Caenorhabditis elegans: one gene and its partner. The protein of the gene in region 1 purifies or fractionates together with the protein of each later gene. This does not show direct contact. Each region holds a gene or a part of one and is shown on either strand. Other genes may lie near its edges.

Region 1 (4,878 bases):
GAAGAAGTATAAGAATCTTTTTCAAAAGGTATTATTATGCAGTTATATCTAAACTGTAAATTTGAAAATTCAAAGTATCTCATATTCCTATATGTACCAGTAGTTTGTATTTTAAATTTCCAATTCAAAATTTTAATATGGAAATGATGTAAACACCATTCCGATTTTATTCCATTATTTTTCTCTCAATCTCTCACTCTTTTCAATTTTACTAGAAAACAGATTTTTATTCTTTCGAATAGAAAACCCTCTACCGTTCCTGACTCACCATTCTATCTCCTCACACACCACTTTCTACGACATTGCCTAACTTTTTGTGCGTTAAGTTTAATGTGCATTTGACCTTTATCAGTTACTCGTGTCCTCTTTCCTGTCTTGATATTTGATTTCAATCACCATCGAGTAATTAGTGTATTGGACACACATACCGAGAAACCACTAACAAGAAACGCCCTGATTTTATTTTTCCTTGAATAGCAGGACGGATCGTGTTAAATTCTAAATAACGTAGGACTGGAAAAATCACATTTTTATGACAACAGGGACTTTGTCGCAAAATTTAATTAGTTCTACATTTGGCCAGGACAATGATTACCGTGGCTTTATGATCAACAACATCTAGCGTGTCTTATCAAAAGCAAAAATTGTTGGAAATCCTAATTTTCTGTTTTGTTAGACTCTATTTTATTTCTTTTGAAAATCCATTACCGTTTTATGTTTTGAATAACTTCAAAATCAAACAAAACTACAGATTGATATTTGCAATCTAATATCTTCGTTTAAATTTCAACTTTTTTAAATGTGCTCTTCGAAATTAGTAAAAAATTTGTTTTATATATTTGCAAACTTCATATAGATATGAAAATATACATATGATAAAATGAAAATAGCTGTATTCCCTTGCCACGCATATAGACGGCGCATTCAAAAACTCATTGCACTCTGGTTTTTTTTTCAGAATTTTAATTACAATGGGGGTTATATTTCATGGGAAGAGCCTTTTTGAAACTCACCGCTTTTCTTCGCTCTATTGATATTTTTGATTTCCCTCTGCGTATGCAGAAAATAGTACAAACCACACTGACATTCATTGTAGTAACTCTAACTTTTATGCCCAAGAAAAGGCAAAAAAATGGTAAGAAAAACGTTTATGAAAGCTTTCTGTTTACCTACCTTGACCATTTTCTCTTTTTCCCCTATCCTCCAACGAGTGTACACACATTTTCGGGTATAATTCATCCGAATGGTTGGTGACAAGAAAAAAAAATGCTTCAAACTGTGTGCGTATGTTTTTCTTGTCAAAACCACATTCATAGTGTGTTATCAACAAGGAGGGATGCAACAAAAGAGAAAGCGAATTTTCCAGGTTGCATTCTTCATTTCGTACTTGCTATCTCTTTCCTCTGATAACCGTTTTTTCGGCAATTTCAATACCTCCTTGATTATATTTATGAGGTATGCAACTGACAGTGTTTCTTTTTCTCTTACGATATTTATTTTCACATCAAAACTATACACATTGCTAGCTTTTTTATTCTTTTTTGAAAAACCTATATTCATCAGATCTCAGAAGTTCCAATTTGAAAGTTTCTTCAATATGTACATTATCGTAAATTAGTCTGTCAACTGATACAAATCGCTTTTTGCCAAGTTTCAAAAGGACACCCCTTTTTGAAGTTTTCCGCTCCATTTCATGTCTTGAACGTATATGTTGCAAAAGTTACTTTCGATTTTCAGAACGACAACGTGTATTGAACCGAACTTGTGATTAGAATCGAAAACGAAATTTCAATTTGGCGCACCCATTTTTTAGTCCCGGCTTATTGATAAACACATAGAGGTGAGACTTTTTTTAATGCCAGTTTCGAACGCGTGCCCGGAAGTTTTTCGAGGCATTAAAAAAATTTTCCTATGTAACTAAACAATTCTTTTAGTCTTATAAAATGTTTTACTAAATCTCGTTTCCTGATATATGTAGTTTTGTACACAGAAAACGAGATGTTTTCTTTTGTATTTGCCTGAAAAACTTATTCTGCTTCTTGGCACAAATCCAAAAAAAGCGGCGTCATGTTTGTGCATTCAAAAACACTTCAAAGGTGTACGAAGCCACAAATGTTGTGACTACTCATATGTGTACAGAGATAGGTGTTTCAAAAAAAATTTTCGTACGACTTCAGAGTGACGTCCTTATTTTGAAACATTCACTTAACTCGAAAACATCCTGGTTTTTAGGTATTATATGAATTGTCTGCTAGTTTTTTTTTTTCGAAAAACCGAGTTTTTTCTCTAAATAACCTAAATCTTAACAAAAAATGTTGTTTTCCGTTCTTCACGTTTTTCGGTTTTTCAATTTTGCGGTGTGGGTCAAAAAGCCGAAAAACCCAAAAAATCGAAAAAAAATTAGGGTCCAGTTTGAAAAAGTGCAATTTATGTATGTTGTTTGTATGAAATAGGGCGTCATCAGTAATAAAAATATTGCATTCTGTATAAAAATACCGATTTTGGAGTGTTTTCAGAATTTGTTTTTGCAGTTTTCTCAAAAGCGAAAATTTCCGTTTTTCAGTTTTTTGAAGAACCAAAAAATCGAAAAAAGTTTTGGCGCACATAAAATGTTTTGTTATTCTCAAAAAATTTCGTCCCTACTAAATTTTACTCAACAATGTTCGTCTTCGCAATTCTCAAAAGAAACAAAGTGGCCCAAGATCTTACGTCAATCAAAACATTCAAAAGACTAGAATAAGAAGGCCCACTGTTTTTATAATCTTGTTTTTACACTCACTTAGCAAATCCGGCACTCTTTGTTCGGTTGCTAATAAGGTGTCAAAGTGACAATTGAAACCCCTCTGAACTGACTCAATAAAAGATAAGATGGAAAATAAATCGAATCTCCGTTTTCAATATGTTTCGGTCGGTTTCTTCTATTTATATGCAAAATTCATTCGAGACACCATACCAAAAGCTCCCGTGGGAGCTGGCCTTCTTATGTCGGTCGGTTCATGGTCCGTAGGGAGTGTCGGAAGGACGGAAGACCACGAAGGAAACGTCTTTGTTTGTACGGATCGCTTATTTATTATGCAGATTGAATATTGGCCACCGCTTCGTTCTTCATCTGTGTTCGGCTTTATTAGACTGCTCAAATGTTGCATGCCATTTTCCTCCTCCTCTCTCTTCGTAGCCGTAACGTATCGCATGTCCATTTCTGATTAGCTCTCGTCATCCGTTCTTCTTTCATCCTTATAAATATCACCATCCGTCTTGAATTGACCAAGAAAAATTGTAATTGTTCCAAACGGACCCGCATTGTACGTCTGAACACCCAGTCATTAGGCTTATCTTCCAATCGTTGCCTCCTCGTTTGCTCCATCCTGCACACACCTGGCCACAGGTACGGTGACGCAACTTTATGAGGTTGAGCCGACCAAATAGGACCATCTCCGTCCTTCCCCACATTTTTCGCCTCTCACTTTATATGTTTGGTCAACAGGGCTTGCCTCGTGCTTGACCCTACCCATACGCACAACTTTCTCTTTTTTGCTGAGGAAACTTTTTTGACGCGGGGTTTTTTACTCGAAATCTACGCTATCCAAATCTGATTTCTGTCCAAACGTCCTTGTCCATTCCTTGACTCTTCTCAATTTGATGATATGTGATGGAATCGTGCCCCCATTTGTGTGCCATCTCTTCAACGCAGGAGCTCTTTTATGTCGTTACAAGCATCTGCTTCAACGCGCGCAGCTGCACACAGTGCCATTTCTTGCCCTCGTTGTCGCGTCAAAAGTATTGCACAATACGGATAGATTACATAAGGAAATCTGTATTCAATCAGATGGTTTACGATCTGCCCGGTGGTGAATAGATATTTTCAACAGCTTATGAGAAAATCGGCTCCAAATTAATATGAATACGGTCACATTGAATAACTGAATTTATGATCTAACATTTTGAATTAACTAAATTTGCACTTCTCTGATTATGCTTATATAGTTTAAAGATTTTACCGCAACATTACAAACTTTTAATCCTCTAGTCTGATAATGATTTATGTCCGCTTCATTGTGAGCGACCAAAAAACTTTAGCTTGTTCACAGGAGTGTGCTTCAGGAATTTTTCAATTAATCTCTTGTGATATCACTTTCTTTTTTTTTGCTCTTACACCAAATATTTTTTTGGAAAAATTGTCAAAATTGACTTAATGGAAGCTGGTGGCTGAAAAATATTTGAGGAATGATTCATGATTTACCGTTTCATTTTTTTATTAAAAAACAAAAGTCTAATACTTTTGGTTCCTGTCAACATGGGGATCCGGACAATGAGAATGAGACGAACGCGCTGACTACTAGCAGTCGAAGTACGAAACCAGAACAATAGGCGTGTTAGTCTCAGTTTTAGCAGTACGTTTTGTCTCCGGTGTTCCCGTGTTAGAAGTGTATACAATTACCCTTTGCACAGTGGCTGTCGATTCAAGCAATTCGAGAACGTTAAGCCAGGTAATCCATGCCTAATAGATGGCAAACGGCACCCATCATCATCCTCATCGTTCATTTAATTAGCACGTTCGTTTCATCTTCAATACGTTCCTCACTGGACGTTAATCCAACCAATTTCGCGCACGGAAAGGTGTCAGAACAATGAACTGAGACGATCATTTCTCACTGGGTTTTTGTGTGTTCTTTTTGTGAAATAAGGTAATCCTCAGTCACAGGTTGTCAACGGAGCACTAGTGTCAGTCAAATGTACACCTGCTCTCATTTTTCTCTTTCTTGTGTCACCATCTCGTCTCACGTCTTCAATCTTTTTACCTTCCGTATGTCCCACAGATTCCCAGGATTACCGCTCTCGACGACAATTATGCGATCTCGAAAATGTCGTGAGGGCATT
Region 2 (3,769 bases), on another chromosome or scaffold:
AGAGAAGCCGATAAGATGCGATTGGCAAGACAGAAACAACAACGAGAGCACGACGAGAAAGAGAAAATTGAAACATCAAAACGTGAAGAGAAACTGAAAGAAGAAGCCGAAAAAAGGCAACGAGAATATGAAGAACAAGAAAAGGTAGTTACTTTAATCAAATACAAAATATTTATTGCCTCCAAATCGTACTCTTTTTCGCTCAAACAATTTTCTTCCATTTGTTGCCAATTTTGATGCGAGCTGGCACAAAATCGGGGCACTCGATCTCCAACTTCAATTTCTTCTTCTCCTCACGATCAGGAATTGTGACTTCAACATCCAACTCCAAAATCACTCCGTTGCACGAGACGATTGGCGAGACACGAACTTGATCAGTCAAGACCTTGCATTGGAGTTTCTTTGCCGCAGAAGCATTGGAACCGTTGCGAATTTCCTTCAAAAAACTATTATTATTTTGGGGACTTTTTTTGAAGAGCAATACCACAGTCTCCATTTGTTCCTTAGTCGAACTCATGCAACTGTACTCGGAAAGTTTCTTGCTCTTCGAAGATTTCTCAGATTTCTGCAGAGGCGGTGACAGAGACAATGGTCTTGGCTCATCATGGATCTGCATGCTCTAGAAATTTGCAATTTTATTAAAAATTGAGCCGGCATCTACTGAACCTTTGAAGCAATGACATCCCCAGTACTACGTCCGATGGTTCCATTCAACGGTTTGGTCACTTGCACTTCACAGCGGTCCCCTTTCTTTGGCAAAGCGAGCAAAATCTGAATGATTTAGAATGAAAGTCTGAAAATTTCATTGAAAAACATACCTTCTCGACTTCATTGATGGTATGAAGAGAAAGACCATTCAAATAACAGATCGTTGCATTTGCATCCGCCATCTTTGAAACTAAAATCCAAACTGATTTCAATCGAAGATTTTCATATTGAACAACAAAAAAAAACAAACACGCAGTTTGTAGAGCTTCACGGAACGAACTTTTTATTTATTTATTAATTCTTTTCTACTCTTTTTGAATTTTGAAATTAACAGAAATAAATTTTCAGACTTGTAACGTACTTGGCCACTCGTCATCAACATCGTCTGTATTAAAAACATCAATTATCAATAAAAACGAGAAAGCCATCAAAATTGTGGAGAATATTCCGGACTCAGCGCCAATTGTGGTTTTTGGAGAAAGCAACTGTCCAGAGTTTAGGTATAATGAAAGGCATTTTCAACAAAAAACATTAGGTTTTACAGAAAAGTTTGTCAATTGGTGTCAACATATCGACTCGATATCTCGAAATTTCAAGTTTTTGAGCATGATAAGCAGTCAGATTGGCCTGGTGAAGAAGTATTGAAAGTGATGGAAAATCGATTTAAAACCAAAAAATCCCCATATGTAAGTTTCATATTTTTCCGAACGCTTTTCTTAACGACAGTTTTTTATTAACCACAAAACTGAGATAAAGTAGTTATTTTTAAAAACGTTTCAGGTATTCGTGTGCGGAGAGTTTATTGGAGGCCTCGAAGGTATACGAAACTACGATAGAACACATGGTCTGGATAAAGTCAAATAAATTTTGGAGAGATGATATCTTGAGATCATGTAATTATTATTTATTCATGCCCCCTCGTTGCCAGCTCCTTTGTGATAACTAGATTAATAAAATACATTCCGTTATTCATTGTGTTTCTCTGTTTAATATATTTGTGTAAAATATACGCTTTTTGATATTTATATAGAATTTTAAAATATTAAAACTCAGTTTCAGATTACTCTTCTTCAGAAAATTCTAAACAGATGCGAAAAATAAACAATTTTCTATCAAGATTACGGTAGCCGGTCTCGACACGCTTTTTTTGTATGGCAACTTTAAAAAAGAGTACTGTAGCTTACACGCTTTGCTGCTGCACCATCTACTTATTTTCTCTTTTGGACTTGTACCAATTTATTTTGAAAGGTTACCAAGAGAAAACGATAAAAGAGGGCGTGGAACCTACAGTACTCCTCACAGGTTCAAACTCTTTTGTGGGCGTCTCGAGACCGGGTATCGTATTCTTGTTTCAAAAATACAAAATTTCACAGTTTTGTAATAGAAATTGAATGTTTTTGTCAGATGACAGATCAACACATGGCTGATCAAGATATCAACGATTTTGAAGCTCAGGCAAATGCGGAAGATGGTGTCAATCTGGGATTCACTGTGAGAAATCTTCTCAAAGTGCTCTCGTTTCAATTAATTGTTTCGATTTTGCAGAAAGAGTTGATCGATGAGATTCGGGATAAAAAAGAGAGCAATCCGGGAATGTTTGTATCGGCATGGCAAGATGATACAGAAGGACTTGAGGAGAAAAATATGGAAGATCCGATTGAAAAGTGGCTGACTGCTGCTGAAGATGGTGAGCTCGAATTGGTCAAGGTTCTATTGGAGGAGACACCGAATTTGCTGAATGTTAGTTTTATATAATTTTAAACTGTTCTAAACTATTTTAATTTCAGTCTCGAGATGCCGATGGATACACAGCTCTTCATCGTGCTTCATACAACAATCATTCACCAATAGTAGATCACCTTCTGTTATCTGGAGCCAATAAAGAGTCAAAAACGAATGAAGGATGGACTCCATTACTTTCAGCCAGTAATTGGGCGAATTTTGAAGTAGTTGGGCGTCTTTTGAGTCATGGATCCGATGTCAATGCTCTCTCCAATGGAAATTTGACAGCTCTTCACTTGGCAGTGAATAGTCGAAGTGAAGAACCAGAAAATGTGTACATGACTGTCAGATACCTCTTACAAGCTCCAGGTATAACACATTTTCAAAAAATATTTTTTTACCAAAAAAAATTAAAATTTATCAACGAAAACGTTTTAAAGATCACAAAAAAATACCGGGGAACTTATGATAAAATTCATACTAATTAGAGAACCAAATAAATTTATTCAAGATAGTTAATAAATTATGGAATACTCAAAAATAAATATTATTTCTACAGGAATCGACGCTGGAGTCATAGCTGGTAACGGAGATACCCCCTTGATGATGGCTCGGCGAACTTCTGAACAACTCTACAATGCAATTCGCGATTTTATGGAACGACCTTAAAGCTCTAACCTTACTGTGAACGAATCTCAATTTTTGGGTTTATGGAGGCGGTTGTTTATATTTTCCAATTTATTTAATTAAAACATGATCTGAAACGAGAATCTTCATCATTATCACAAAGTAAGCACAGAAAAGCCATCAAGGAATGTATGGCGGTAGTTCAAAACAAATACAAATAAAGCTAGAACCCGAGGAAAATGTCTATATAAAATTATAAAATTATTAAGTTCTATGAGCAATTTTCGTTGTTCCACAAATTTTTGGAATATGGCTGACGAACAATCACAAAAATAATAGTGGTTGCAAAAAATGCAGAGTATAGAAATAGGCAAACATATCGAATTATTTTCTCAATTCGATGTTCTACTACATTATAAAGTACTACATATCCAAAGAATAATCCAGTGACTGCTCCAGCAATATGGGCAAGATGTGACACAGAATCACAGTCATTTGTATAGAATCGACGATGAATGGCTCCACCGAAATCCAGAAAGATGAACACGAAGAGCACCAGGACTCGGATCCATCGTAGTGGCATTTCATGCCAATTCTATAGATATAGAGGTTTAATTTTATAATTTCTTTAAAAATTGGACTCACCAGAATAACATTTGCTACATGTGCGAAAATGAGAGCATAAACTCCTGCGGAAGCACCAACTAGAAGC

The links.
Region 2: the proteins of dgn-1 (region 1) and F26F4.12 fractionate together in Caenorhabditis elegans (co-fractionation; one large-scale study listed by BioGRID). This does not show direct contact.

Annotation. Positions count from the first base shown.
Region 1 is NC_003284.9:10,925,858-10,930,735, reverse strand, and holds the start of dgn-1 (Dystroglycan 1), read left to right. Parts: upstream 1-1,737; 5' UTR 1,738-1,840; intron 1,841-2,916; exon of another isoform or gene 2,917-3,121; intron 3,122-4,878.
Region 2 is NC_003281.10:4,908,382-4,912,150, reverse strand, and holds F26F4.12 (ANK_REP_REGION domain-containing protein), read left to right. Parts: upstream 1-2,112; coding exon 2,113-2,199; intron 2,200-2,253; coding exon 2,254-2,448; intron 2,449-2,495; coding exon 2,496-2,799; intron 2,800-2,989; coding exon 2,990-3,099; 3' UTR 3,100-3,191; downstream 3,192-3,769. Other genes in the region: F26F4.2 (PDZ domain-containing protein), read right to left, coding at 203-436, 485-619, 667-771, 819-890; F26F4.9 (Glutaredoxin domain-containing protein), read left to right, coding at 1-144, 1,057-1,208, 1,253-1,394, 1,489-1,572; rom-1 (Rhomboid-related protein 1), read right to left, coding at 3,329-3,652, 3,703-3,769.